Oryctolagus cuniculus: one gene and its partners. The protein of the gene in region 1 purifies or fractionates together with the protein of each later gene. This does not show direct contact. Links are inferred from orthologs where the notes say so. Each region holds a gene or a part of one and is shown in the gene's direction. Other genes may lie near its edges. The genes, in order: DCAF7, CSNK2B, HIPK2, TROAP, RYBP, FAM53C and ZNF503.

Region 1 (4,276 bases):
AAAGGACATAATTTCAGCGCAGGCAGTCTGGCGTGAGAGTTTGTGCAGTTAACCATTCTGCTGAAGGGGCTGTTATCTCCAGGATACCAACTCACTGACCTTCAGTCTCGGTACTTTGTGCTCCAGAACTCTCTAAAAGAATTCTGGGAAATTTATCTCTCCTCCATTTTTAAGTGGACATCTGAAATATTTCATTGATAAGTTTAAATAGTTGCAAAGGAATCAATGTCCAGTGCATTATAAATATTGACACTATATAGAATTTTTTCATCTCATGTATATTTATCCATATTTATCCAGGTAACATAGATTTTAGAGCCATCATCATCCACTTTAAAAACATAAGAACAGGTTTTCATAAGTCTAATTATCCCTTCCACTCTAGTTTTAACCTACATGTAATTTATTTTGATGCTTAAAAAATTTTGATAACCCTATCATGTTTGCAACACACGTATATTAAACTGAAATTTTAAAAAGAATTGTAACTTTAATAAGGCACTGTAAGTAGTATTAAGTGGGGCCAGCATAAAGGCCCCACCTGCGGAGGCAGCATCCCATATAGGCATGGGTCATGTCCTGCTGCTTCAGTTCCAGTCTAGCTCCCTGCTAATGTGCCAGAGAAGGCAGCGGAAGATGGTCCAGGTGTTTGGGAGACCATACGAAGCTCCCAGCTGGCTTCCACCTGGCCCAGCGCTGGCCCTTGGGGCCATCTGGGGCCTGAACCAGCCAAGAGAAGATCTGTCTCTTCTCTCTAACTCTGCCTTTCATACAAATAAATCAACCTTTAAAAAATAAAAATTAAGAGCAAGGCTGGTGGGCTCGGTGCCCAATAAAGACCAACCCAAGACATGGGAACATTTCTAGAATCTGCAGGAAGGCGCTGTAAGGCCTGACTCAAGCTGGCTTGGCCCTGCGCACACCTGCTGCGTGTCTGAGGCCTGCCCTTGGAGCACTGGAAGCACAACTCTCCCGCTAAAAAGGCTTTGAGGGATAAGTGCGGCGGGCCAAGAGGTCAGGCCTTGGACTCAGTACTGTAAAATGCGGTAGTCCTCCATTAAGACAGAATTTAAATTTTACTCAACAGCCTAGGGAGGCCGCTCAGTCTAGCAGCAGCAACGGTGAAGTCAGGGCAGGTCGCACAGAGGTTTCACTCTCAGCCACTTGGCCTAGAACTTGCAGGTCGCCTCTGGGCCACCCACGCCCCTATTCACCCGCACTGCGCCGTTATCTGGGTGACTGACATCTTGGCTAGCCAATGACCTTCGGGACTGCGAAAGCGCCTGCCTCCAGGAATTGGGCGGGGCAACTACTTGGAATGATAAATACTTGCACCAATAGCGAGGAGATTTCAGACGCCGCGGTCGTAATAACCAATGAGGAGAAGGAACCATTTCGAAAGGACGTGTCAAGCAGCCAACGGCCGACGCCGCTCCAGGGGGAGCGGGTGGGGGGCGGTCGCGTGGCTTCCGTTCCGAGGAGGCGGGGCGACATCCCAAACGGAAGGTGGTTGTTGTCGGTGCCGAAGCTTGTTTGAAACTGGGGGTCGGGCCCTGTTGTCGTTGTTTGTCGCCGCGGCCCCGCTTCCGGGCTAGGCAGTTCCTGCCCGCCCCCGCCCCGCCTCCCTTGAGACCCCTCCGTCCCAGGCCCGGCTCCCCGCCCGAATCCGCGCCCCGCTCTTCACTCCCCGCTGCAGCCCCGGCCCGCAGTGCGGCCCCGCCGCCACCATGTCCCTGCACGGCAAACGGAAGGAGATCTACAAGTATGAAGCGCCCTGGACCGTCTACGCCATGAACTGGAGTGTGCGGCCAGACAAGCGCTTTCGCCTGGCGCTGGGCAGCTTCGTGGAGGAGTACAACAACAAGGTGGGCCGGGCAGGGGCTCGGAGCCCAGCCGGCGGGGAGCGGGCCCCGGGTCTGGCCCTGTGCTGGCGGTTCCGCTCTCGTGGTCCCACGTAATCCTGCGTGGTCGGGAGCGTGGAGGGGAGACGGAGGCAGCGCGTGTGACTTTCCCGAGGCAGACGGGTATTTCGTGGTGGTAACAGGTCTCAGAGCCGAGCTGACGTTCTGGAGCTGCGCCAGGTGTCCGCTCCCAGGCCCTCCACTCCTGCCGCATTGCCTCGGCTGGGAGGCGGGGAGGGAACAGGGAGCGATGAGGCTCCCCAAGTGGTGGTCGCGGCGTCCCTGGCTTGCTGAGGGTTTCCCCGCCCCCTAGTCGCACTCGGCGCGTCCCTTGGATCTGCATCCCTGCTGCCTGGTTTCCAAGGCCTTCGCTGTGGCCTCCCGCGACCTGCCCTCTCCGAAACAACCTGTTTGTTTCTGGACATCTTGGCCTGCAGCATCATCCCGCCATTGTTTTCTTGGCTTCTTATGTGCTAATAGTCCTGCCGTTTGTAACCTCAGGTAGCGGAGCTGACCGGACGACCACCAGTTTGAGAATCCTTCATGGAAACTCTGTTGCTAGGGGATGCTTCTGCACCTGCAGTGCAGCAGCGTGCATTTATTTTTGAGAGTAATTAGCTAAGTCAGTGGGAGGAGTTTTCTTCTGTATCTTGTTTTTCTTGTGTTGGAGCAACAGTTGTGAATAACCGTGAACAGAGCACCTGTAAGGTTCAGCTGGTGGTGTTTAGAGGCTTTCCTGTTCCTCCATGCATATCAGATTGAAGAATAAAGCTGTGGCCGTTGGCAGGCCTGGTGCAGGGGAAGAAAGGATTGAGTTCCGTCTGGTTCACCCACTGGCTTTGAGGCGTCACACCCCCGGTCATTTCTGACCCACAGTTTGCTATAGGAAAGGGGTGCTGCTTTACACATGAAGATCTGTAAAAAATAAAATCTGAGCTTTTAAAAAAAGATTTATTTATTTCCTTACTTGAAAGGCAGTTACAGAGAGAGGGTGAGATAGAGATCTTCCACTGACTGGTTCATTCCCCAAACGCTTGCCAACAGCCAAGGCTGGGCCAGACGGAAGCCTCCACCCAGATCTTGCACATAGGTGACAGGGACCCAAGGACTTGGGCCATCGTCTGCTCCTTCTCAGGTGCAATAGCAGGGACCTAGATCTGAAGCAGAGTAGCTGGCATGGGAACTGGACTCCGCTGCGTGCCACTGCACCGCAGCACCTGCCCCACAGCATTCGAACATCTTCAGTGTTCACAGTTTTTCAGGAGCACATTTGTTTCTCTCTGCAGTAGGTCTTAACTTCTTTAGGATCCCCTTTGGGAAACTGACGCGAGCCACGGGCTTGCATTGCCAGACATACTCATACACGATTTACAAACAAATCCTAGTGAGTATGCACTGATCTTTTAAATTTACCACTGACTGTGCAAGACGTAGCTTTAAAAAATTTTATTTATTGGAAAGGCAGAATTTCAGAGAGAGGGAAAGACAGAGGAGAGGGAGAGCTTCCATCAGCGGTTGGTTCACTCCTCAAATGGCTACAACAGCTGGGGCTGGGCCAAGTGGAAGCTGGAGGCCTGGAACCCCATCTGGGTCTCCCACAGGGTGTCGGGGGCCCAAGTACTTGGGCCATCTTGTGCTGCTTTCCTGGGTGCATTAGCAGAGAACTGGGTCAGAAGTGGGACTTGAACGCCGGCGCCGCAGCTCACTAGGCTAATCCTCCGCCTTGCGGCGCCGGCACACCGGGTTCTAGTCCCGGTCGGGGCGCCGGATTCTGTCCCGGTTGCCCCTCTTCCAGGCCAGCTCTCTGCTGTGGCCAGGGAGTGCAGTGGAGGATGGCCCAAGTGCTTGGGCCCTGCACCCCATGGGAGACCAGGAGAAGCACCTGGCTCCTGCCATCGGATCAGTGCAGTGCACCGGCCGCGGCGGCCATTGGAGGGTGAACCAATGGCAAAGGAAGACCTTTCTCTCTGTCTCTCTCTCTCTCTCTCACTGTCCACTCTGTCAAAAAAAAAAAAAAAAAAGTGGGACTTGAACAGGTATTTATACTGGATGCCAACATCACAGGCATTGGCTTAACCTGCTGTACACAGCGCCGGCTGCAAGACACAGCTTTGTTTCTTTTCCTCTGGTGCCTCTTTCTCCCCTGTGGCTTGTAGAGAAGGCAAAACAGCAAGTGGAGTTCAAGGTCCTGATGTCGACATCATATTAGTAAAATTAAGACCACAAGAACTACTCTTTCAAAATACACATGAAAAAATAAAAAGTAAGATACGTCTTTCAAACAACTTGAATCCACATAAAGTGATGTAATTTTGCAAGTTCTTTCAGGGTCAGTGGGCAAGCTGTGGCTCTCATTTCTGAGAGAGACAGACTGA
Region 2 (3,931 bases), on another chromosome or scaffold:
GGGGCTCTCCTGTGCAAGGCCGTGCCCGACTTGATAAGAACTAGGAGGGTTGGCCAGGGCTCACTGAGGGTCCCCGAGGGCAACGTCTGCGACCCGACTCGCCTCGCTTCTTCCCCCGCCCCCTCTTGGCCCCTCAGTCCAGTGAGCATACGACTCTATTTCCCAGGCTCCTGGCCCCGAACGCCTTACTTGGCTTCCGCTTCCGGTGGCGCCTCGCTGTGCCCCGCCCCCGAGCCGCGTCCTCGGGGGCCTCGCGACACGAGGGTCGTGAGTGAGCTGTCCTGGGATTCGTAGTTCGCTTTTCCCTCGCTTCGCCGGTCTCTCGCCCTAGCGGACTCCATCTCCCAGCGTCCACCGCGGCTCTCGCCCCTCGGCGCTTGCGCGTTGCCCTCTTCCCCACCCTCCCCGATTTCCACTCCCCCCACCCGACTTCGCCTGCCGCGGTCGGGTCCGCGGCCTTCGCTGTAGCGGTCGCCGTCGTTCTTTGGAAGCAGCTGTTCCCCTCCCCCACCCCGGTCCCGCTCCCCGTCCAGCTGGTGAGTGTGAAGTGGTTGCCCCGCGGAGTTCCCGGTCCCTAGGAGCGGCACATGGGGTCTCCCCGCCTTGAGGTGGGGGCGAGGAAGGAAGTGACCCGGTCCGTAACCGTGGGAGGGAAGGGTGGCCGGAGAGCGGGAGGCAGGCTGTGGGGACTCCGTGAAAGAGTACCTGGCGGTGCCCGCCCCTCGCCCCGGGTCGTGAGAAAAGGAGGTGTCGGTCGTTGCTTGGCAAAGATAAACTTCTAATTCTTGGGGAAGGGTGCCGGAGCCCTGCGGTGGTAGGGAGCCCGAGCCGAGGACTCTGCCAGAGTTGACACAGGCGAGAGGGGTCTGGCCATCGGGGGCGCGGGGGATGTAGGTAGGGACTGCTGGGTCGGTACTTGTGGGCTCCTGCCAAGGAATTTCTAAGTTCATTCAGAGAAAAGGGGCCGAGGTGTAAATAACAAGAGCTAGAGAAGCCTGTCCCAAAGGCTGGGATCCTTTAAAAAAAAAAAAAAAAAAAAGGGTGGCCCCAAATTCTTCCATGGCTGAAAGACAGAGTGTGGGAGGAGGGAAGGTGCCAGAGCCGGGGAGGGAGAGCTTGGACTTGACTCCTGTTTCCAGCTGACGTGAAGATGAGCAGCTCGGAGGAAGTGTCCTGGATTTCCTGGTTTTGTGGGCTCCGTGGCAATGAATTCTTCTGTGAAGTGAGTGCTTTTCGTTCTTCCTACTCGCTGGTTCCATGCGTTCAGGTTGGGTATCTTCAGCTTTTGCACACTTTATCCCGTGGAAACTCCTTCCCGTGAAAGAAGGGGTCCCCTCAGTAACCCCCCACTAATCAGCGGCGATGTGGCAAGACTGGGGCCCAAGTCCCATTTCTGTCACACACCCCACCGCACCCCCAGGAGGATAACATTGAACTAGTCAGACCATCTTTTTTTTTTCTTTTTCTTTTTTAATTTTTTTATTGTACTTAAAGTATCTGAAGGTAGAGCAACAGAGAAAGTGAAGGATCTTCTGTCTACTGGTTTATGTCCCAAATTTCTACAACAGCTACTGCTACCAGCCAGGCTGAAGTAAAGATCCCAAAACTTACCTGGGTTTCCCATGTGGGTGGCAGGGACTCAAGTACTTGTGCCATCACCCTGCTACCTTCCAGGGTGTGTGTTAGCAAGAAGCTGGAATTGGAAGTGGAGTTGGGACTTGAACCTGAGCATTCCAGTTTGGGATGTGGGTTATCTCTAACCATGTAGGAACCACCGTGCCAAGTGTCCTTTCTCCTTTGCTTTTTCATTACTAGAATGCTACTGGTAGTGCTTATCTCTGGGGGCTGTTAGGAGAATTGGAATACTGCACCTTAAAATGTTCTGTAACATGCAAAGCTCTGTGTTGACATAAGGAATTCTAACCACCTTCAGAAACCAAGCTGTTCAGCCTCCACCTTCCTCAGAGAGCAGCTGTTCCCTCAGGAGAGGACAGAACTGGTTCCTAGAGATGAGGAACAGGACTAGAGACGCGGGAGTCGAGTGTGTCTCTAAGGAGACTGCTGTGCTTGCTTGTCCTTGGAGGAGAGAAGCTGGAGCTTTCACGGGGGGGAGGGCGTGCGTGTGAACTCGGGACAGCGGCTGAAGTACTGACGCTGAGTTGGAGTAGGAAACAGGCAGACCAGACGCAGCCGTGTGGCCGACAAGGCGTTCGTTAGGTGACCTTGGCCAGCTCAGAAGCTGGGGGTCCCAGTAGGAGTTTTCCTCTTGACCTCCGTGTTCTACCAGGTGGATGAAGACTACATCCAGGACAAATTTAACCTTACCGGCCTCAATGAGCAGGTGCCTCACTATCGACAAGCTCTAGACATGATCTTGGACCTGGAACCTGGTGAGACACCCTCAAGGTTCATGGTGGGGGGGCTGTTTTTCTCTTCAAATTACCTCTTGAATTTACCTCTTGAATTTCTAAACTTCCTTTTGGTTCTCTGACACCCTTAACCTCAAAGTCCCAGCAGCATTTTTGCCCCCCTCCTTGAATTCTTGCCTAGTTTTGTGACTGATAGCACTTGCTGCCATACTTTCTGAATTTGTAGCTCAGCGCTCCTCCTTATGCGAGTTTCCTCGCGGGTCTTGTTTACTGCCTCTTTGCCTGCCTTGCACCCTCCAGTCTAGAGTTCCACCTTCTGTGTTGACATCTTTGTATTTACGTACTAAGGAAGGAGTTGGGAGGGAGAGAAGAGAGCAGAGGCTGAAGAGGTGTGGAGAGAAGGCTGGGCTTCCTTGGGTTGGTGGAAGGGGCAGAGACCCAGGTTAAATGCCCACGTGAGGACTGGGTGAAGCTCAAGGATGGGTGCTGGGCAAACTGGGCAGCCAACAGCCCTGGGGGTGGGCGGGGCACCTGGGAAAGCTGGAACGCCAGTGGTTGCATGTGGCTGGCCCATATTTCAGACGAAGAGCTGGAAGACAACCCCAACCAGAGCGACCTGATTGAGCAGGCGGCCGAGATGCTTTACGGATTGATCCATGCCCGCTACATCCTCACCAACCGAGGCATCGCCCAGATGGTGAGGCCTCTCTGCGCCTGCGTGACTCCTTGTGAGGCAGTAAGGGAAACAGGTTCCTACAGTGAGCAGTAATCTGGCAGCCCTGTCAAGGAGTCGAGCTGAGATGAGAAAAACCCAGAGTTTGGGCCGGGAAACTGAGTCCTCCCTGGACGTCCTGCTGAGGGGGTGTCTTCAGGGAGGGCGATGTGAGCTTGGTCAGAGTTGTGGACTGCTTCTTCCTCAGAGAACAGACGGCAAATGGCCCTGGATGTCATTAGCCTCCCTAACTGGGGGGAAAGTTGGTGGGCCCCTTTGATCTGCACAAGGACCTCCAAGAAGAGGGAGGAAATGTGGAGGACAGAGTTATGTGGGGGTCGCTGCTTATCCTCATACCCACCCACCAATCCCTTCCATTTTTTTCCCTTCAGTTGGAAAAGTACCAGCAGGGAGACTTTGGCTACTGTCCCCGTGTATACTGTGAGAACCAGCCAATGCTTCCTATCGGTGAGTATTGAAGAAGGGAGAGGGGGCACCATCTGGCAGTCCTCTGGGAAGGAGTTGGGCTCAGCAAGGCGGGAGCTGAGTTCTGGGGCAGGGGACTCGGCAGTGTCGCGGGTGCCTGGCCTGCTGAGTCTGGCTGTCTCCCAGGCCTGTCGGACATCCCAGGTGAGGCCATGGTGAAGCTCTACTGCCCCAAGTGCATGGACGTGTACACACCCAAGTCATCGAGGCACCATCACACGGATGGTGCCTACTTCGGCACTGGTTTCCCTCACATGCTCTTCATGGTGCATCCCGAGTACCGGCCCAAGCGACCCGCCAACCAGTTTGTGCCCAGGTGGGGAGCAGACAGAGTCACCATGTGTCAAAGGAAAGACTCAGAATC
Region 3 (3,500 bases), on another chromosome or scaffold:
GGGTTTTTATGTTTCCGGTATCGCCGTGATTATAAATTGTACAACTCTTCCCAAGCAATCATCTTACAAATTTCTGAAGTTAGCTAAATTGTGGGCAAAGTGCTAATATGAAATAGTAGTACTTTCTAGAAAAATTTATCGATGTAAGAATTTAGCATGGAAAATGAGTGAATCGAGTCCATAATCTGTGCTTCCCACTCCCCGGCGAAGAGGCTGATAATCATGTTTTAGTCAATCTAAATGAAAATGTCAGACTCTTTTATTTATAATTTTTCTTTTTTTAAACTTGAGAGGCAGAGAGAGAGAAAGGAAGCTCCAGTCTGATGGTTCACTCCCCAGATGCCTGGAACCATCAGGGCTGGGCCAGGCCAAACCCGGGAGCCAGGAACTCAGGTCAGGTCCCTTACGTGGGTGGGCCAGAACCACCGCCCCCTGGGGGGTGCACCAACAGGGAGCTGAAGTTGGAAGCTGCAGGTGGGTGTTGAACCCAGGTTGGGGACGCGGGCGTCAACTGCTAAGCTGGACAGTTGCTCTGGGAACAACTGTGATAGAGCCCTGCAGAATTTGGTTAAGACGGCTCAGATGCCAGGCAGCACTTGTTCAGCCAGAAGACCAGAGGAGCCCCCCACGGGGCCACCTGACCGCTGGGGCCTGTTGACAGAACTGAGCTGGCTGACCACATGGAGTAGCTAAGCTTGTAACAGTTAACCAGGGGCCACCTGATAGCAGTTTCTTTCACAAACACTATTGATATTTAAAAAGATGAGTGGAGTCCCTGTTCTCATTCTGTGTTCCAAGCCTCCTTCCCCCTGCTGGTGGCAGGGTGACCCACACACTGAGTAACAGGTCCGCTTCTGAGTGCAGTAGATTCCTGTTCCCGGCCTTATTTTGAAGTGGGAGGGAAATGCTGTTGACTCCAGGCCATCTCAGAGCTGCAGCGGATCTCTGGGGTTTATTCATGCAGAGGTGGCTCAGAATTTATTTCTCCTCTTCTCTCCTCACAGGTATGGCCTCACATGTGCAAGTTTTCTCCCCTCACACCCTCCAATCAAGTGCCTTCTGTAGTGTGAAGAAACTCAAAGTAGAGCCGAGTTCCAGCTGGGACATGACTGGGTACGGCTCCCACAGCAGAGTGTACAGCCAGAGCAAGAACACAGCACCTTCTCAGCCAGCCACCACAACCGTCAGCACCTCCTTGCCAATCCCAAACCCCAGCCTACCTTACGAGCAGACCATCATCTTCCCAGGAAGCACCGGGCACATAGTGGTCACGTCCGCAAGCAGCACGTCTGTCCCTGGGCCCGTCCTCGGCGGACCACATAACCTGATGCGGCGCAGCACCGTCAGCCTCCTTGACACCTACCAGAAATGCGGACTCAAGCGTAAGAGCGAGGAGATCGAGAACACGAGCAGCGTGCAGATCATCGAAGAGCATCCACCCATGATTCAGAATAATGCCAGCGGGGCCACGGTCGCCACTGCCACCACGTCCACTGCCACCTCCAAGAACAGCGGCTCCAACAGCGAGGGTGACTACCAGCTGGTCCAGCATGAAGTGCTGTGCTCCATGACCAACACTTACGAGGTGTTGGAGTTCCTGGGCCGAGGGACGTTCGGGCAAGTGGTCAAGTGCTGGAAGCGGGGCACCAATGAAATCGTAGCCATCAAGATCCTCAAGAACCACCCGTCCTATGCCCGACAGGGCCAGATTGAAGTGAGCATCCTGGCCCGGCTGAGCACAGAGAGTGCCGACGACTACAACTTCGTGCGGGCCTACGAGTGCTTCCAGCACAAGAATCACACCTGCTTGGTCTTCGAGATGCTGGAGCAGAACCTCTATGACTTTCTGAAGCAGAACAAGTTCAGCCCCTTGCCCCTGAAATACATCCGCCCGGTCCTCCAGCAGGTAGCCACGGCCCTGATGAAGCTCAAGAGCCTCGGGCTCATCCACGCTGACCTCAAACCGGAGAACATCATGCTGGTGGATCCGTCCAGGCAGCCGTACAGGGTGAAGGTCATCGACTTTGGGTCAGCCAGTCACGTGTCCAAGGCCGTGTGCTCCACCTACCTGCAGTCCCGGTATTACAGGTAAGACCGCACCAAGATGACAGGGGCCGTGAGGGGCCCGGTGGTGGCCGTCACCCAGGGCGAGATAGGAGCGCGTGTGAACAGTTGCTGCCCGCCAGTGATCTTAATGCAGCTGGGAAATTATGGTCCTATTGGCGCACATTGACATGACGGTGAGGAGCCAGGTAAGAGCAGAGCCAAGGAGGAGGCTTAGTCTAGTTGTTCAGAGCTGGAAGGGATCCGTGGGAGCTGGAATGAAGGTCCAGACAAGGTGGAGGAACTGGGTCCTCACGGTGGAGAAGAGGGCGGGCCGTGCTGTCCAAAATCCTGCCGTAGGAATGTGCGAGACAGGTCAGCCACCTGCCGGCAGAGTTCTGAGGGAGGTGTGGTTGCGAGCCAGCACAGAGTGGGACCAGGTTGCTGGGGGTCTTGAGTAGCAGGCTAAAGCTTGGCAACTGTGTCCTGAGATTTGAACAGCCAAAGGTGAAGGCTGGGAAGGCTGCTCCTCTCACCTCCCGTGTGGAGGAGGCTGAGGAAGAGAGAAGTCAGGGAGCCGGCTGCTCACTCCTGTGGTGAGCAAGCCTCGGGTCTGGGCGAGGGGAGAATTGTGGAGCCTCTGGGAAGTGTGAATTAGGCAACCATTCCTCCGTACAGTCAGTCATTCAACAAGCATTTACTTCCAACCCGGCGCCGTGCTAAGTGCAGGGTCGTGGACGAGGCACTCACCGTCCTGGAGTCTCCTGCATACTGATTCTCAGCCCTGGCTGCACCTGCAAGACTCCTGGGGCGCTTCCAAAGTGCCCTCCGCAGACAGAACCCACGGGCCGGCTGAATGACCTCTACCAGCTTTCCTGGGCCCCAGGGCCAGTCAGGCTGAGAGCTGCTCTCTGCTGCCTTCCGAGTCAGGAGGACCCAGGGTTGGACCTGATTCCTCCGCTCAAAAGCTGTGTGGCTTGGGCCAGTTGCCTCATTTCCCTAGACATTCATCTCCTAACCCATGACCTGGGAGAAGCCGGCCTCTGCGCTTGCTGGGCTGATCGCTCGCCGTGGTTAACACATCGTAGGTGCTGCAAGCAGCAGCCAGCCCGAGAGGGGCACAGGGAGGAGCTGGCTGAAGACAGAGAGAGAGGTGGTTTGGGGCAATAGTGATGGGTTGTCCTTGAGGGCGCAGGGACCAGGCAAGTGGTAAGAAATGACAGACTCCTGCGAGAAGACAGCCCGATGACATGGAAGAGGTCCCTAAGACTGCTGCCTGAGACCCTCTGCCCGGGGGCTTCAAGGCCATGGAGAAAAAGCTGGAGAATGTGCTACAGCTGCGTCGACACAGCTGATCCTCACCCATTCCTGGCCCCCTGACTGCCCACAGCGCTGTCGCAAGTCTCCTCCCAGCTTCCCCCGCCTGCTGGGAAGAGCAGTGGTCACATGGCAGGAGC
Region 4 (3,500 bases), on another chromosome or scaffold:
GGAGCCGGGAATCAGGGAAAAGGTGAAAAGTGGTGGTGGGGGGACCCTGACGGGTCCCGGCAAGGGGCGGCACGGGGATCTTGAAGGGAATGAGGGCTGTGGGGGTTCACAGGGAGGAGAGCAGGTCCGGGTTCAGGGACTAAAGAGTAAGGTTCGACATGTCTGGGGGTGGCACCCAGAGGAGCGGCCTTGCTTCTGGGCGCCTGGGTTTGGGTGGGGGTGGAAGTTATTAGGGAAGTCAGGACCGGTGCCCTGAGCACTGGTTGACCTTTGACCCCGACTCTGCCTGCCTTCTTCCAGCCTCACGTTGTAGCCACCATGAGCACCCTCCAGGCCGCCAAGGAAACCTTCCCCCGGGGTGTGTCTCCCACCCCTAGCAAGATTCCCGTGCGCTCTCAGCGACGCCCACCTTTCCCTACCGTCAGATCGTGCGCCCCGGACCAAGAGAACCAAGATCCGAGGGTAAGAGGGGTCCTGGTGGGTGACGATGACTGACAGGGAGGCGGCGCACACCTGCAGTGCACCCCAACGCTTCTTGTCCCCTCTTCTCCCCCCGCCCCCAGGGATTGGTGCAAAGGCCTCCGCTCGGTATTCAAGGCCCCCTTGTTGATGCGGCAGGCTCCAAGTTGAAGGGCACGCAGCCGACAGAGAGATCACAAGGATCGGAGGGGGTCTCTCCCTTCTGGATCACCTTGGAGGAGCTCAGGCCTAACTCTGGGAGAGAAAACGTGGGGCCTGGACCCCCTCCCCGGACAGGTACCTATTGGAATCCTGGGAACACGGCCTCCCTGGCTGAGTGGAGGAATGGGAAGGGCACAGTGGGGCTTGGGGGCTTTCTTAAAGTTCTGAGCTGAGTTCCATGGAATGAATCGCTTCTGCTCACTCCTACAGCACAAGATGACTACCCAGGGTCCCTGGTCCCCCAGCCTTCCCCCTGCCTCTTCCCCCTCACATTTCATTCTCTTCCCTTGCAGAGGCTCCGGGAGCCATAGAGTTTGTGGCTGACCCCGTAGCCCTGGCCACCATCCTATCAGGTGAGGGAGTGAAGAGTTATTGTCTGGGGCGCCAGTCCAGTCTGGCTCAGAGAGTACTGATTCGAGGGAACCAGGGAATCTCTACCCGGAGGGGCCAGGTAATGAGACCGGATGTGAGGAGATGAGGTTGGGGTGGGCCAAGGAGAGATCCGAGCCTGTGCTGAGAGCCTCTGTTGGGGCTCCCAGGGTGCTCGGGCCTCTGCATATTTGGCTCCCAGAACCCCCATCCAGCAACTAGACCCCGCCAGGGCTTCCTGTTTCTCAAGGTTGGAGGGACCAGGACCCCGAGGCCGGAGTGAGCATCCCCAGAGGCTAGAGGCTACGGTGAGTGCCCTTGAGAAGCAGATGTGAGAGCTGGGCTTGGGAGAGGCACTGACTCAGGGTGAGCCAATGGGCCCTGAGGGAGGAGCCAGGCTGGGGAGTGGGGCTTGAAGGTTTGGGCCCACCTGTGACCTGGCTTCCATCTCCTGCTCCTACGCAATAGATTCCACCTGCAGGAAGCTCCTTGCACTCCTCTGCCCGCCCCCGTTTCCAGGAGCTAAGAAGAGGGACAGGTGGCAGCAGCCGGTGAGAAGGAGAGTGTGTTTGGAGAAGAATGAACCCCTGTCCTGGAGAGGGGTCCTGCAGAGCTCAGGCCTTCCAGGAGCTCTCAGAGCACCCTCTGCAGGTGCTGGGGGGAAGCCTGTGGTTGCCCAGGGGAGTCTTTGGAATAGGGGGTTGGCTTGCTATGACGTGTCCTTGGGATATGAGAGGGGAAGAAGAGACAGAAGTGTAAGTTGCTGACTGGCTTAGCGGCCAGAGCACAGACAGTGGCAACCGATGGCATTTGGGTTTAATTCCTGACTCTCACTCACTCAGCCCTGCAAGCTTGCCTTAGGCTCTCTGAGCATTGGTTTTGGTGTTTACCAAGCGAGGATAGTGTTTGTGGCGATACTGGAAGTTGCTGTCAGAATGAAATGCTGTGATGTGTGTAAAGCACTTAGCAATGGCCAGGTCGCACTTGCTACTCAGTGCCTCCTGGCTGCTGTCCTTGTTGTCATCAGGACTACAGTGAGCCAGGCCTCGGGATTGCTCCTGGAGACCCCAGTCCAGCCTGGTGAGTGTGTCTGGCTATGGGGGAGAGACCAGGGGCAGGTGGGCTGCCGGCAGTGGGAAGGAGAGAGGAGAAAGCTCAGCAGGTTGTGAGAGGGCGGGGTCGGGGGGACACCCCTGAGGAGTGGGGAGATGAGAGGCTAGGAAGAAACTAGCAGTTGGCCTATTGCACTTGCGTCAAAGGAGATAGTCCTGGCTTCTGCCCTTTCCCTTCCATTTTGCAAGATTTGCCTTTACTCAGTGTCCAATCCCAGTCCCTAAGAGCCATCACCACACCCTCAGCCCCCTCGGGGTGTTCAGATAAATAAGGCTTTACTGAGATAGTGTTGGCCTCTGTATGAGTCCTTGCTGTATTAATGTAGAAGGGGGTATTAAGCGGTTTATGTTCAGGGTAAGTGTTTGGTATAGCACTGCAGGATACCCAGATCTCAAACTGGAGTGCAAGAGACAGAGGGAAAATCTTCTATCCATTGGTTCACTCCCAAAATGGCCACAGTCTCCAGAACTGGGCCAGGCCAAACTCAGGAGCCAAGAACTCCATCCACGTCTCCTATATGGATGGCAGGGGCCCAAGTACTTGGGCCAGCACCCACTACCTTCCTAAGCGCATTAGCAGGAAGCCAGATCAGAAGCACAAAGCAGCCAAGACTCAAACCGTGGCTCCGATCTGATCCAACTTCCTGCTAATGGTCCCCTAGGAGGTAGCAGGTGACGGTGACGGCTCAAGTATTTGGGTCCCTGCCACCTCTGTGGGAGACCTGGATTGTATTCTCTGCTCCTGGCTTCAGCCTGGCCCTGCCCCAGCTACTACAGACACTTGGAGAGTGAACCAGTAGGTGGAAGGTCTATCTGTCTATCTCTTTGTCTGTGTGCCTTCCAAACACAGAAGAAAAAAATTTTAAAATCCAACTAGTTTACCCTCTTCAAAGGTTGCCAAAACCCTGTGCCAGTCTTTGGAGGGCTTTTTAGGTACTGCAGCCAATTTCCTGCCTTCTCCCAGCTTCCTCTCTCCCTGAGGGAGAGCAGGAGGTTGTCTCTCACTCAGATGAAGGAGGAGGGGGCCCTCTTGGTCTGGCTCAGCGAATACCACTAAGAGAAATCCAAGAGATCACACACACCAAGGTGAGGTGGGACCCTCTTGGAACAGTAGGTGCAGGTAGAGGAGTGGCCTGGGGGATCCTGTAGCAGTCAGCACTGAGGATTGTGGGTAGAACCTGGCATTCGGGGCCTTGGGGTGTTATTGGGTCAGGGTTTGCCCCAGATGGACCCCAGCCCTCACCAGAGTGGGGCTGACCTCTCTTTTCCAGGTGTCTGGGGCCTGGGGGTGAGAGGTTACAGATAGGGATATACTCGAATCACCATCAGATCAGTGCC
Region 5 (4,063 bases), on another chromosome or scaffold:
TCAATTTGGCAAGCATTCTTGGAAGTGGGGCAGAAACTGATGGGTACTACCTGTTCTTCAAACATCTCCCAGCGCGGGGAAGCACAGCCAGGGCCTAGCCATACCCGCTCCCTACCCAGTGCCTGCCCAAGTGCCAGGATCTCACTGCGCGCTTTCCACGCATCTGTCTCTAAGGAGAAGGGTTATTAGCCTCATTTTGGAGACACAAGGTTAGAAGGCTGGCCTGAGGTCGCCACGATTTCAATAGCAACTTCCCTAGGGAAACGCCTTATTTAGGCGCCCGGGGGTCCGAGAAGTCAGAGCTCCGCGGCCAGCCCCGGGCAGTGAATTACGCCACACCCTTTCTGCAGAGTTCCCTCCCGCAGCGGGGGCCCCGGAGGGCTGCGGGCTAGCGTCTCGGCGTGGGGGGGGGGGCAGGGACTCCCGGAGAGGCAGCTACAAAGCTCCGCGTGGCAGAGGAACACAAGGGCGCAGGGGGGGCCCGCGGGCTCAGCGAAGCCCCGCGGTCTCCCGGGGCGCAGCAAGCCTCGAGGCGCTGCGGGCGGCGCGGCTGTGGCCAACCCCCACCGCGCGCGCAAACTGCCTGGAACTACTTCCCCGGAGCGGCTGCGGGGCCCAGGGCCGCGCGACAGCCGCACCGGGCGGCCGCGCGGGGCCCCGAAGCCCGTTGCCGGCGCCCGGGCGCGGCCACGTGCGCCCCGCCGAGCTCGCACGCTCCGCCGCGCCGGGCCGCGGGGCCAGCGGCAGGCACGCGCGCCCCCAGCGCGCACACACTCCCGGGCACGCACACCGACGGCCCGGCCCACGTCCGCCACGCCCCGCCCTCCCCCGCGCCCCGCCCCCGCCCTCGCGGCCCCGGCCGCCGCCCTGCCATTGGCCGCCAGGCGCGTGACGCGCGGCGCCCGGCCCCGCCCCTCGTCAGTCACTCGGCGGAGGCGGCGCTGGCGGGGACTAGTCTCGTCCGGAGACTGGCGGCGGCGGCGGCGGCGGCGGCAGCGGCCGGAGCTCGAGCCCCAGCGGCTGAGGGAGGGCGGGCGCGGGGGAGGGAGGGGGGCCGTTCCGCGACGACTCCCCGGACGGCGTTTCTCCTCCGAGCGGCGCGGGTTTCGGCTTGGGGGGGGCGGGGGTACAGCCCATCCATGACCATGGGCGACAAGAAGAGCCCGACCAGGTACCTGCTCGGAGCCGAGGGGCGGAAGGGGAGGGCGGGCTGGGGGCGGGCGGGGGCCGGCGACGACTAGGCCCCGGAGCCACCGGGCGGGGGGAGGCGCTGCTAAGATGGAGATCCGGGGGCGGGGAGGCGGCGGCGGCAGCGGCGGGCGGCGGCGGCGGGAGGCGGTGTCGCTCCTGCCCGGGGCCGGCGGCCGTGCGCGCCGCAGCCATGGCGGCTCCTCCTCAGCCGCCCTCCTCAGCCGCCGCCGCCGCCGCCGCCGCCGCCGCCGCCGCCGCTCCTCCCAGACAAAGGGAGATTTAACCAGGTGGGGAGGGAGGGAGGGCGCGAGCAGGGGAGGGGAGCGGGAAGGAGCCGGCCCACTCCCCGCCGCCGGCCTCGGGCTGCCCCTGCGCGCCCCCTCCAGATCCGGCCCGCGGCTCCCCTCGCGGCCCCCCCAGCCCCGCGCTCGGGTCCACAAGTCCGCCCGCTTCCTGCGCCCGCCGCGGCCCTTCCCGGGGCGCCGCCGCCGCCTGGCGAGCGCGAGGCGATCCGGCCCGGCCCGCGGCCGCCGCGGCCGGCGGGGGCGCCCGGTTCCCGTGCCCGCCCGGTTCCCGTGCCCGCCAGCCTGCTCGCTCGCTCGCTCACTCGCTCGCCCTTCCAGTTCCCGGGAAGGGGGGTGGGTGGGTGGTCGCGCGGGCGAAGTTTCCAGCGCCGGATTCCTGCGAAATTACGGCGGCTCACAGCGCCTGTGTTTTTGCTGTCTCTCCCTCTTTTTCCCTGCTCTCGGTCTCTTCCCTCCCCTTCCCCCGGCTCCCGACTCCTCCGAAGGCCGAAAAGACAAGCGAAACCTGCCGCCGATGAGGGCTTTTGGGATTGTAGCGTCTGCACCTTCCGAAACAGCGCTGAAGCCTTCAAATGCAGCATCTGCGACGTGAGGAAAGGCACCTCCACCAGGTACCTGCCGCTCTGTGTTACCTTTGTTGACGGACTCGGCCCGCGGTGCGGGGACAGGGTCCTGAGCCGGACTTTGCTGCCCTCTTTCCAACTTGTTGATTGCGGCCTTCGTTGCCTTTGGGGGTGGCTGATGCGGTGGTGTGGGTTCCGTGTATTTCGTGTGGGTGCATTGCCTCGTGTTGCCCGAATGATTTATGGGAGGGAGTTTTTCCCAGCTTAACTTCACACAGCCTGCATCTATTTGACACTTGTGTCCATTGGCTTGGAAGGAGAGGAGAGAGCGGCACCATGGCTGCGGATTTGGGACAGGAACCTTTTTATTTATTTTTGCCATGTGCGGAGTGGCTTTGCTTTGCTTGCCCTAAGTTATTTTTCTCTGAGCAGTTTGGTGGTGGTGGTAGTACAATAAGGCTGATTGAGCTTTTCTGGTAGGGAGCTGCAAATGTCTGTTACTTTCTTGCACTTGAAAATGACTGTTGGGGTTTGATAAGGAAAGTGCATTTTTTTCTTTTTTTTTGGCTGAGCTGTTCAGTTTTTTTCCCCCCGTGGTGGTGGTTGTTTTGAGACTGTTTATTTGTTTTTGATGAGCTTACACCGATTTTGCAGAATGGTGAAGAGTGACTGTTGAAGTCTGTGTTTAAACCTTCATTATAATAAAGAATGTTGAAAGAATTCCTTTCCATTTCGATGAGGTGGTAAACTGCAGGTGTTATCAAAACGAGTTCAGCAACTTTAGATTGGACATTTAGATACACTTGGAGAGAATGTCAAGACTGGCTTTGTGGTCTGTTGGTCATCTTTTAACTTCTATCTGGAATTTGTTTCAGTAGTGTTAGAGTTGAAGTTAAACTGTTGGTCGCATTTGATGGACTGACATTGAAGGTGCGAGAGTGAGAGTGAGTGCTTGGTGAATAGAAGTTCTTGGGGACTAAGAATTGATTTCTTTGAGTCTCCTAGTCTCCTTCCACAGGTCTTCTGGGCTTGAATTGGTGGCATTCCTCTGTGACTGTGTAGTAGTACCCTGCATGTCCAGCTGAACATTGTTCTCTTGGCGAAATGAATGTATCCTGTTAAGGTTTCGTTGCTTCATTTATATCTGGTATTAAATAGGATATTGGGCAACCTGAAGGAATGTAACTCTGAGATTAATTGCTCTCATTACTGGTAGAAGAGTTCTGTGAATTCCACTAACTCTAAATAATGGGACCTTTGAATAAAAATACCCAAGAACTACAAATATTTCCCCCATAAGTAGTTTTTAAAGTAAACGCATGTCAAATTTTTGTGTTCGTGGCTTTGTAGGTTTTGTTTTGCTGTCTTCAAAAGTGGGAATTCCATCGAATGGCATGAAAGTTTAGAAATGTATTTGTTATTTAAAGCAATGATGATTGTGTAGCATCTATGAGTAATGTTTTTTTTTTTTTTTTTTTTACGTGTAGAATCCCTCAGAGGCCAAACCTCTTTATTGTGGTTTTGCTTTGAGTGTTACTGTAGATGATGTTCAAGTAAATGACTAGGAAACTCAGAAGAACTTGAAAACCTTATTGATGAAGAGAAACTTAAACCGAATTCCAAGAGTTCATATCTGATTTAATGCTGGGAATAATTGTAACGAAATGCGTTTCAGTTTCTACATGTATTTTTAAAAAACCTGACTCATCAACTTTTTGGAAACATGGGGAAGGCTTTGACTTTAAAAATAACATATATGCTTAAACTTCTTTCGGAGCCACAGATGACAGTAAATTAACATTATTAAACCATTAGATTTTTAAGAAGAATATTTTGGAGGGTTCACGAATAGGATAATCCACCTAACTTACTATCTTCAAGAGTTGTTGTGTAACTTTGATGTCTGTTATTGGGTAGGATTTGAACACAGATCTGAGGACTTATATTTATAATACTCTCACCTGACCAAATTGGTTTCATTTTGGTTACTGCCAGTACATATAT
Region 6 (3,500 bases), on another chromosome or scaffold:
TTAAGTGGCACTGGAACTCTAGGAGAAGCAGCAGCGCTTGAACCAGGTTAGGAGTGCAAATAGGTTTCAACTTGCTCATCAACTCCAGTTTACTTGACTGGATAGCTGGAGTGCTAAGTTCAGAATGTTTCTGAGGCTGTGTTTAGGCTTAACAGGAAAGAGCTGTGACCAGTTAAAGATGTCTGCCAGAGGCCTGGCGTAAGGGGTGCTGTGGTATGTGTGCCATGCGTTTTCCATCTCTGGACCAGGTACATCTCTAATATCGCTTGGGGCTGGTCCCTCTGTAATTGGCAGACTCAGCAGGCATGACTGGCGAGGGAAGTCCCAATGGTGCTAGAATGGTGCTGCAGTGGCAGAAGACGGCTCACGAGTGAGGTCTCTGGAAGAACAACAGGGAAGACATCCATCATTTGCTCCAAAGTGTGCAAGTCAGATCCTGGGGAGAATCATGATAACCCTGATCACTGAGCAGCTACAGAAGCAGACTCTGGATGAGCTGAAATGCACACGCTTCAGCATCAGTCTGGTAAAAGACCAGTCTTCCTGCTTCTCCACGACCCCCTCCCCCTTTTTTCTGAGGCTGTTTGTTGCTATTACTTTACCCTCGTCCTGTGTTGTATGAATCATGGTGTTTGTACTGGAAGAGCCCACCAAGGGCTCAAAACCCAGCTCAAAAGGAAGGGGGCAGGGATTTTTCCACCACTAGAGAAGGGACCCCAAACATGGGTGGAGAAGGGTTTGAGGTGTTGATGGATGTGAATTATTTTACTCACTAACTTTGGGAAGACGAGAGGAAGAACACACTTAGGAGTCCCTAACATTCTGCTAGCCCGATTATCGCAGGGGAGAACTGAAGAGGGCTTCCTAGACTCAGTGTGTTCTGAACCCGCGTCATGATCCATGTTCTCTCTCTCTCAGCCTTTGCCTGATCATGCAGACATCTCCAACTGTGGGAACCCTTTCCAGCTTGTGTCTGGTAAGGCACTGTGTGTGTGTGTGTGTGTGTGTGTTTGCTTGCTCACGCCTCTGTGCACACATTTCTTTCATTGGTTTCCAGTGACCAGGGTTACCTAGCCTACCTCTAGAACTTTGTTTCAGGGTCACCTTCTGAGATTGGCACTTGTCTCCATTTTACTGACCCAGCATAAGGTTTACCTATTCAGTTTGCTTTGATTCTAGCCTTGTGGGGACTGTTATAATCAATTTTTTTGGCTAGCTTGTATATTCACATGGTTTGTAGATTTAAAAATAACAGAAAAGGTATTCTGAGGAAAGTCTCCCTTCCTCCCTCTGCTATCCCCTACCCACTCAGCTCCTGCCACCTCCCTAAAAGAGATTCCTATTACTAGTTTCTTGTATATTCCACTAGAATTTTTCTTTTTGTTAGAATTTTTTTTAATTTATCTACTTAGGGGTGGGTGGGTGGTGCAGCCACACTGGAATACCCACATCTTGTATCAGAGTGCCTGGTTCAAGTCCTGGCTCTGCCTTCTAATGTGCACCCTGAGAGGCAGCAGGTGATAGCTCAAGTTCTTGGGTCCTTGCCATTCAGGTGGAGACCTGGATTAAGTTCCTGGCTCCTGGCCTCAGCTTGCCTCAGCCCTGGCTGCTGTGGCCATTTGGGAAGTAAGCCAGTGGTTGGAAGATCTTTCTGTATCTGTCTGTCTCTCTCTTTCTGCCTTACTAAATAGATTCTTTTAAAAATCTGATATAATTTGTAAGTTATTTATTTTCATTTTATTTGAAAGGCAGAGAGACAGAGACAGAGACAGTGAGAAGTTCCATATGCTGATTTAGTCCCCAGATGCCCACAATAGGCAGGAGCCCTAAACCCAATCCAGATCTCCCATGTGGGTCGCAGGCACTCAGGTATCTGAGCCATCACCTGCTGCCTCCCAGGGTGTGTATTAACAGGAAGTTGGATTGGAAGCAAAGGACCCAGGACTCAAACCAGGTACTCTGTTATGGGATATGGGCACCCCAAGCAGCAGTGTAACTACTGCACCAAACACCCATCCCTGGAATTCCCTTATACAAATACAAGTTAATAAAAGTATGTATACTTATCACCACTTTTTTTCTATGCAAAGGGTTGCATACTATATAGCAATCTGGTTTTTTTGTTGTTGTTTTTGTCTTCACTACAATATACCCAGGAGTCTGTCAGTGTGCTGAACAGTTCCTTGTTTTATGTAACTGCATATAATTACCTTGCCTGGATATACCATAATTTAACCAGCCTCCTATTGATGTACCTTTAGGTTATTTACCATCTTTTGGTATGACACACAGAACTCATGCATAGGTCATTTTTTTTTTAATCTTTTTTTTTTTTTTTTTTTTTTGACAGGCAGAGTGGATAGTGAGAGAGAGAGACAGAGAGAAAGGTCTTCCTTTTTGCCGTTGGTTCACCCTCCAATGGCCGCCACAGCTGGCGCACTGCGGCCGGCGTACCGCGCTGATCTGAAGGCAGGAGCCAGGTGCTTCTCCTGGTCTCCCATGGGGTGCAGGGCCCTAGCACTTGGGCCATCCTCCACTGCCTTCCCGGGCCACAGCAGAGAGCTGGCCTGGAAGAGGGGCAACCGGGACAGAATCTGGCGCCCCGACCAGGACTAGAATCCGGTGTGCCTGTGCCGCTAGGTGGAGGATTAGCCTATTGAGCCGCGGCGGCATAGGTCATTTTTAACATGTGAGCATCTATCTGAGGTACAAATTCCTAGTTATGAGATAATCAAAGGGTCTCTGATTGTGAGAATATTTAGATAAAGGCATCACTAGTAGACAACCAGAACTTTCTAACCTGTGCTGCTGGGCTGTTCTACATCTTGTTGCCTTTTCTTAGATACCTGGCAAAGGGAGTTGGTTGGCAAAAGGATCTTCATGCAGTCTCTTCCTCCTATTTATTAAATACGAGCTGAGAGCCAGATGTTGGGCCACCAGTTAGGGGGAAGAACTGTTGACCAAGTAGAATCAGGTACGAGTTTTGCCATGATCAAGTCTGAGTATATAAACTTGTTGTTTGCTCCAAATATCCAGCCCATGCAGAATTCTAGCCAGCTAGCCAGGGGACTTTGGAGCAGGCTGTTTGTCCCTTAATGAGCTATATGACAAAAGTCACCATTTTGGTTGGAATGCAGTAAGTTAGAATCATATCTTTCGTCATATCCCCTTCTCCCCTTGGTCCCTCCATCCATTTGGATATGAGAGAAGGCCTAGGAAAAGGGAACCAGAGTATGTGGCTGGCCAGACAGAAAGGAGTGTGAACAACATGAAGTATTAAGGCCTCCCAAGCCCCGGTTCCACTGTCAGAGGCCTCCCCTACCTTGTTTGCCCTCCTTAGGAATAAAAGTGATCTCTTACCTGCTTGATTACCTCTTACTTCCTGGCAGCCCTAACTCATGTTTGGTGCTGTTGACACATGAGAAGGGAAAGGTCAACGAAGGAGAGCATAGGGCTGCTTTTCAGAAGCCAGGGCTGGGGCCGGGAGCAAGGGGCAGCGT
Region 7 (4,199 bases), on another chromosome or scaffold:
GCCGGCTCGGCGTTCCCACACCTTGGAGCGAGGAGCTCCGAGGAAACCGGTCTCCTGGCACGCCGGGAGGGCGCAGGGCGCGGGATGCGCGGGCAGGCGGTTGCGGCGGGGGGCACGAGTGAACCTGACACGAGCCTCGCCCACGCACCCGCGGCCGGGCCTCCTCTCCGCAGCCTCGCAACCCTGGCCACGATTCCCGGGGGCCCGAAGAGTTGGGGGGACCCGCTCTTCCAGCCACCCCCACCCCCAGGCCCCGAGGATTTGTTGATGGCGTGGAAAGAAGTCTGGGAGGGGGCGCCGGGGCACTGCGGGGCGAGCGACGCAGCCGCAGCCTCACCGCCCCACGCGGGGCGGGAACTGTCCCGTGCGAGACGCCGCCGGTGCCCAGCCCGCCCCCTACAAACTCTAGGGCCCAAGCCCCCTAGGTGCGAGGGTCCCCCACCACCGGGAGAGGTGTCGCGCGCCCTCCTGGCGCCCCGGGCGCACCTGCGCACTCCACTCCTCGCCTTCCCCACCCCGGCGGGCCCCTCTTTTTCTTTTCTCAGCCCCCACCCCAATCCCTAGAGGCCGCTCCTCTCGCCCCCTCCTCCAGTCCCCTCCCGGTCTCTTCCTTCCTCTCTCTCTCTCTTCTCCCTCTTTTTCCCTGCAAGTCGCACCCGCCTTGTAATCAGCAACAAAAGCTGACATAAATCACGGGCGGATTGACAAGAGCTGACAAATAACTGATTGATTGCGGTCGAGGCACATTGACAATTGATGGAGGGGTGGAGATGCCCAGAGAAGGCGCGGGGCGGGGGGAGGGCGGCAGGGGAGAGTAAGAATGGGGGCGGGGGGACAGACTGAGTGTGAAACAGAGGAAGCACGTGACCTCGCCCCTGCCCCAATCGGCGGGTCCCTGGGTGTCACGTGGCTGCGGAGGGCGGGGAGCCGGGCGCCCGTCGCTGGGATGAGCAGCCACCGCTTCCGCGGCCTGAGTGACTTCTGGTTTCTCCACCGCCGAGTCTCGGGAAACCAGAGCGGGCGGGCGAACTCGCTCGCGCCCGGGCTCCTTCCCCGGGTGGCCGCGCCGCGCGCGATCTCGGTTCCACCAGGTGTGCGGGCCCCGTGCGCGCCGCCGGGCGCCGACGATCTGGCTGGTGTCCACACGCCTGCCGGATCCCTTCCTGGCTACGCCCGCAGACTGGTCCTCATCGCCGCTGCTTGCTTCCAAGAGAAGGTTTCGGTTAATTTTCCGAGCCGAGGAAAGGACAGACGACGAGGAGGGCAAAAAAAAAAGAGGGAGGCGGCAGATGGCAAACGTAGAATACACGTCCATCTCGTCCTCGGAGTGAAAACGAGGGAGGGGACACGCAGAGGAGGGCGGCGAAGAGGGAGCTGCCCATTAAAACCAGCTCGGAGAGTCCTGGCGGCGGCGGCGGCGGCGGCGCGGGACGCGTCACATCCCCTTGACCCTCCAATCACCTCGGGCTCCCATTTGATTGGAAGGCGGCAAAGGCTTTAATCTCCCCCTCGGTGCAGCTGCTTTTGAAGTGAGTTTCCTCGCCAGAGCCCCGGCTGGACAGGCAGCGGCTCACATCGCTGAGCGCAGCGCCGGCGCAGGGGCGCAGCCCGAGGCGGACCCGCAGCCCAGCCGGCTCCGCGGTGGGCCGCCCGGGACCCGTGGCTCGTGGCGCCCGGCGCGCCGGCTCCTCCTGCGGCTGCGGTTCCTGATCCCCGGGCGAGCGCGCAGCCCCGGGCCCTCCCCCCGCTGCTCCCATGCGCGCGGGTGGGTCATGAGCACAGCGCCCTCGCTTTCTGCCCTAAGAAGCAGTAAGCCCAGCGGCGGCGGCGGCGGCGGCGGAGGCGCAGACCCTGCCTGGACCAGCGCGCTCTCTGGAAATAGCTCCGGCCCCGGCCCAGGCTCGTCCCCGGCCGGCCCCACCAAGCCTTTTGTGCACGCCGTGCCCCCTTCCGACCCTCTGCGCCAGGCTAACCGCCTGCCCATCAAGGTGCTGAAGATGCTGACGGCAAGGACTGGCCACATTTTGCACCCTGAGTACCTGCAGCCCCTGCCCTCCACGCCCGTCAGCCCCATCGAGGTAAGGAACCCCCCACCCCCACCCTCTCCGGTCGCGGGGGGGGACCACTCCCCAGGCTGCCGCCCTGCAGGGTTTCCTTTCTCGGGACCTGAGGGTGGGGGTGGGGTCCGTGGTGATTCAGCTCCGGGGAGAGGGGAAGACGGCGCTTCTGCGCCTCCAAACTGGGGCGGAAAAGGAGCAGGAGGCGGGACCCTGGGTTCCAGGCGAAGGCTAGGGGACAGGGCGGCCAAAACTTGCTGCTGCTTTCGGTGTGAAAGACCCGACCGCGACCCAGGCCCCTACCCTCTGCGCTGCTGGCCGGCGGGCGTCTGGAATCCGGTGGCAGAGTAGCCGCGCCAGGGTCCTCTGGAGCTGGCGCGTGCACAGCCTCCGAGGCTCCAGCCGCCCGTGCCCTCGCTCTGAGGAATCCAAAGGTGCGCGCGCAGAGGGGTATCGTCCTGGGTCCAGCCTTTCACCCCGAAACCTTATGCGAGTGTTTTTTGAAAACCCAATTCGCATCAGGAGAGGGCAGGACAGCTTCTGCCCGGAGGTGGGAGTCCGCCGCCTGTCCCTAGGGCAAGGATGTTGGTGGGTGTGGGGGTGCCGCCCGGCTCCGCACCTCGTCGCTGGGGGGAATCTGCGCGGGCAGCATGGGGGGGGGGGCTGGACCCCAGAGGCCAGGATTCTAAAGGTTTCCCCCTTCTTTCTCCGTGTGATCCGTTCCCCGTCTGACTCTGCAGCTGGATGCCAAGAAGAGCCCGCTGGCGCTGCTGGCGCAAACCTGCTCGCAGATTGGGAAGCCCGACCCCTCGCCCTCGTCCAAACTCTCCTCGGTCGCCTCCAACGGGGGCGGCGCGGGCGGTGCTGGCGGCGGCGCCGGCGGCGACAAGGACGCCAAGTCGGGCCCCCTCAAGCTGAGTGACATCGGCGTGGAAGACAAGTCGAGTTTCAAACCGTACTCCAAACCCGGCTCGGATAAGAAGGAGCCGGGAGGCGGCGGCGGCGGCGGGGGTGGTGGTGGTGGTGGCGGCGGCGGCGGCGGCGGGGGCACTTCGGCGGAGAAGTCGGGATTCCGGGTCCCGAGCGCCACCTGCCAGCCGTTCACGCCCAGGACAGGCAGCCCGAGCTCCAGCGCCTCGGCCTGCTCGCCGGGAGGCTTGTTGCCCTCGGCCGGGGGCGGTCCGGATGGCAAAGACGACAAGAAAGACCCGGACGCGAGTGGCGGCGGCGGCGGCAAGGGCGCTGGGGGCGCAGCGGCCGAAGGGGGACCCGCGGGGCTGGCGCACGGCCGGATTAGCTGCGGCGGCGGGGTTAACGTGGACGTGAACCAGCACGCAGACGGCGGTCCCGGGGCCAAGGCCCTGGGCGCGGACTGCAGCGGCTCGTCGGGCTCCGGCTCAGGCTCCGGCCCCGGTGCGCCCGCCTCCTCCTCGGTGCTGGGCTCTGGGCTGGTGGCGCCAGTGTCGCCCTACAAGCCGGGCCAGACAGTGTTTCCTCTGCCTCCTGCTGGCATGACCTACCCGGGCAGCCTGGCCGGGGCCTATGCCGGCTACCCGCCTCAGTTCCTGCCTCACGGCGTGGCGCTCGACCCCACCAAGCCCGGCAGCCTGGTGGGCGCACAGCTGGCGGCGGCCGCGGCCGGCTCGCTGGGCTGCAGCAAGCCGGCTGGCTCAAGCCCGTTGGCTGGAGCGTCGCCGCCGTCCGTGATGACAGCCAGCTTGTGCCGGGACCCGTACTGCCTCAGCTACCACTGCGCCAGCCACCTGGCCGGGGCGGCAGCCGCCAGCGCCTCGTGCGCACACGACCCTGCGGCGGCGGCCGCGGCGCTCAAGTCCGGATACCCGCTGGTGTACCCCACGCACCCGCTGCACGGTGTGCACTCCTCGCTAACGGCCGCCGCTGCCGCGGGCGCCACACCACCCTCACTGGCCGGCCACCCCCTCTACCCCTATGGCTTCATGCTGCCCAACGACCCGCTCCCGCACATCTGCAACTGGGTGTCGGCCAACGGGCCGTGCGACAAGCGCTTCGCCACATCGGAAGAGCTGCTGAGCCACTTGCGGACCCACACGGCCTTCCCCGGGACAGACAAACTGTTGTCGGGCTACCCCAGCTCGTCGTCCCTGGCCAGCGCCGCCGCGG

The links.
Region 2: the proteins of DCAF7 (region 1) and CSNK2B purify together in Homo sapiens (affinity purification with mass spectrometry; 4 studies listed by BioGRID and IntAct, with this or other methods). This does not show direct contact. The link is inferred for Oryctolagus cuniculus from reciprocal best matches to the Homo sapiens genes DCAF7 and CSNK2B.
Region 3: the proteins of DCAF7 (region 1) and HIPK2 purify together in Homo sapiens (affinity purification with western blotting; 3 studies listed by BioGRID and IntAct, with this or other methods). This does not show direct contact. The link is inferred for Oryctolagus cuniculus from reciprocal best matches to the Homo sapiens genes DCAF7 and HIPK2.
Region 4: the proteins of DCAF7 (region 1) and TROAP purify together in Homo sapiens (affinity purification with mass spectrometry; 3 studies listed by BioGRID and IntAct, counting the BioPlex papers as one, with this or other methods). This does not show direct contact. The link is inferred for Oryctolagus cuniculus from reciprocal best matches to the Homo sapiens genes DCAF7 and TROAP.
Region 5: the proteins of DCAF7 (region 1) and RYBP purify together in Homo sapiens (affinity purification with mass spectrometry; 3 studies listed by BioGRID and IntAct, counting the BioPlex papers as one, with this or other methods). This does not show direct contact. The link is inferred for Oryctolagus cuniculus from reciprocal best matches to the Homo sapiens genes DCAF7 and YAF2.
Region 6: the proteins of DCAF7 (region 1) and FAM53C purify together in Homo sapiens (affinity purification with mass spectrometry; 3 studies listed by BioGRID and IntAct, counting the BioPlex papers as one, with this or other methods). This does not show direct contact. The link is inferred for Oryctolagus cuniculus from reciprocal best matches to the Homo sapiens genes DCAF7 and FAM53C.
Region 7: the proteins of DCAF7 (region 1) and ZNF503 purify together in Homo sapiens (affinity purification with mass spectrometry; 4 studies listed by BioGRID and IntAct, counting the BioPlex papers as one, with this or other methods). This does not show direct contact. The link is inferred for Oryctolagus cuniculus from reciprocal best matches to the Homo sapiens genes DCAF7 and ZNF503.

Annotation. Positions count from the first base shown.
Region 1 is NC_091448.1:15,152,663-15,156,938, reverse strand, and holds the start of DCAF7 (DDB1- and CUL4-associated factor 7), read left to right. Parts: upstream 1-1,476; 5' UTR 1,477-1,727; coding exon 1,728-1,865; intron 1,866-4,276. UniProt on the Homo sapiens protein: Involved in craniofacial development. Acts upstream of the EDN1 pathway and is required for formation of the upper jaw equivalent, the palatoquadrate. The activity required for EDN1 pathway function differs between the first and second arches.
Region 2 is NC_091436.1:138,947,093-138,951,023, reverse strand, and holds the start of CSNK2B (casein kinase II subunit beta), read left to right. Parts: upstream 1-1,131; 5' UTR 1,132-1,150; coding exon 1,151-1,222; intron 1,223-2,287; coding exon 2,288-2,390; intron 2,391-2,950; coding exon 2,951-3,066; intron 3,067-3,473; coding exon 3,474-3,549; intron 3,550-3,693; coding exon 3,694-3,883; intron 3,884-3,931. UniProt on the Homo sapiens protein: Regulatory subunit of casein kinase II/CK2.
Region 3 is NC_091434.1:184,334,268-184,337,767, forward strand, and holds part of HIPK2 (homeodomain-interacting protein kinase 2), read left to right. Parts: intron 1-1,004; coding exon 1,005-2,088; intron 2,089-3,500.
Region 4 is NC_091442.1:52,742,683-52,746,182, forward strand, and holds part of TROAP (tastin), read left to right. Parts: 5' UTR 1-22; intron 23-300; 5' UTR 301-318; coding exon 319-462; intron 463-563; coding exon 564-756; intron 757-974; coding exon 975-1,132; intron 1,133-1,220; coding exon 1,221-1,358; intron 1,359-1,518; coding exon 1,519-1,601; intron 1,602-2,077; coding exon 2,078-2,130; intron 2,131-3,126; coding exon 3,127-3,248; intron 3,249-3,500. UniProt on the Homo sapiens protein: Could be involved with bystin and trophinin in a cell adhesion molecule complex that mediates an initial attachment of the blastocyst to uterine epithelial cells at the time of the embryo implantation.
Region 5 is NC_091441.1:76,787,019-76,791,081, forward strand, and holds the start of RYBP (RING1 and YY1-binding protein), read left to right. Parts: upstream 1-1,263; 5' UTR 1,264-1,278; coding exon 1,279-1,478; intron 1,479-1,981; coding exon 1,982-2,107; intron 2,108-4,063. UniProt on the Homo sapiens protein: Binds to MYC and inhibits MYC-mediated transactivation. Also binds to MYCN and enhances MYCN-dependent transcriptional activation. Increases calpain 2-mediated proteolysis of YY1 in vitro.
Region 6 is NC_091437.1:26,138,827-26,142,326, forward strand, and holds part of FAM53C (protein FAM53C), read left to right. Parts: intron 1-294; 5' UTR 295-448; coding exon 449-526; intron 527-918; coding exon 919-976; intron 977-2,842; exon of another isoform or gene 2,843-2,925; coding exon of another isoform or gene 2,926-2,974; intron 2,975-3,500.
Region 7 is NC_091446.1:66,425,254-66,429,452, reverse strand, and holds the start of ZNF503 (zinc finger protein 503), read left to right. Parts: upstream 1-1,399; 5' UTR 1,400-1,772; coding exon 1,773-2,078; intron 2,079-2,797; coding exon 2,798-4,199. Other genes in the region: translation initiation factor IF-2, read right to left, coding at 1-421, 746-1,315. UniProt on the Homo sapiens protein: May function as a transcriptional repressor.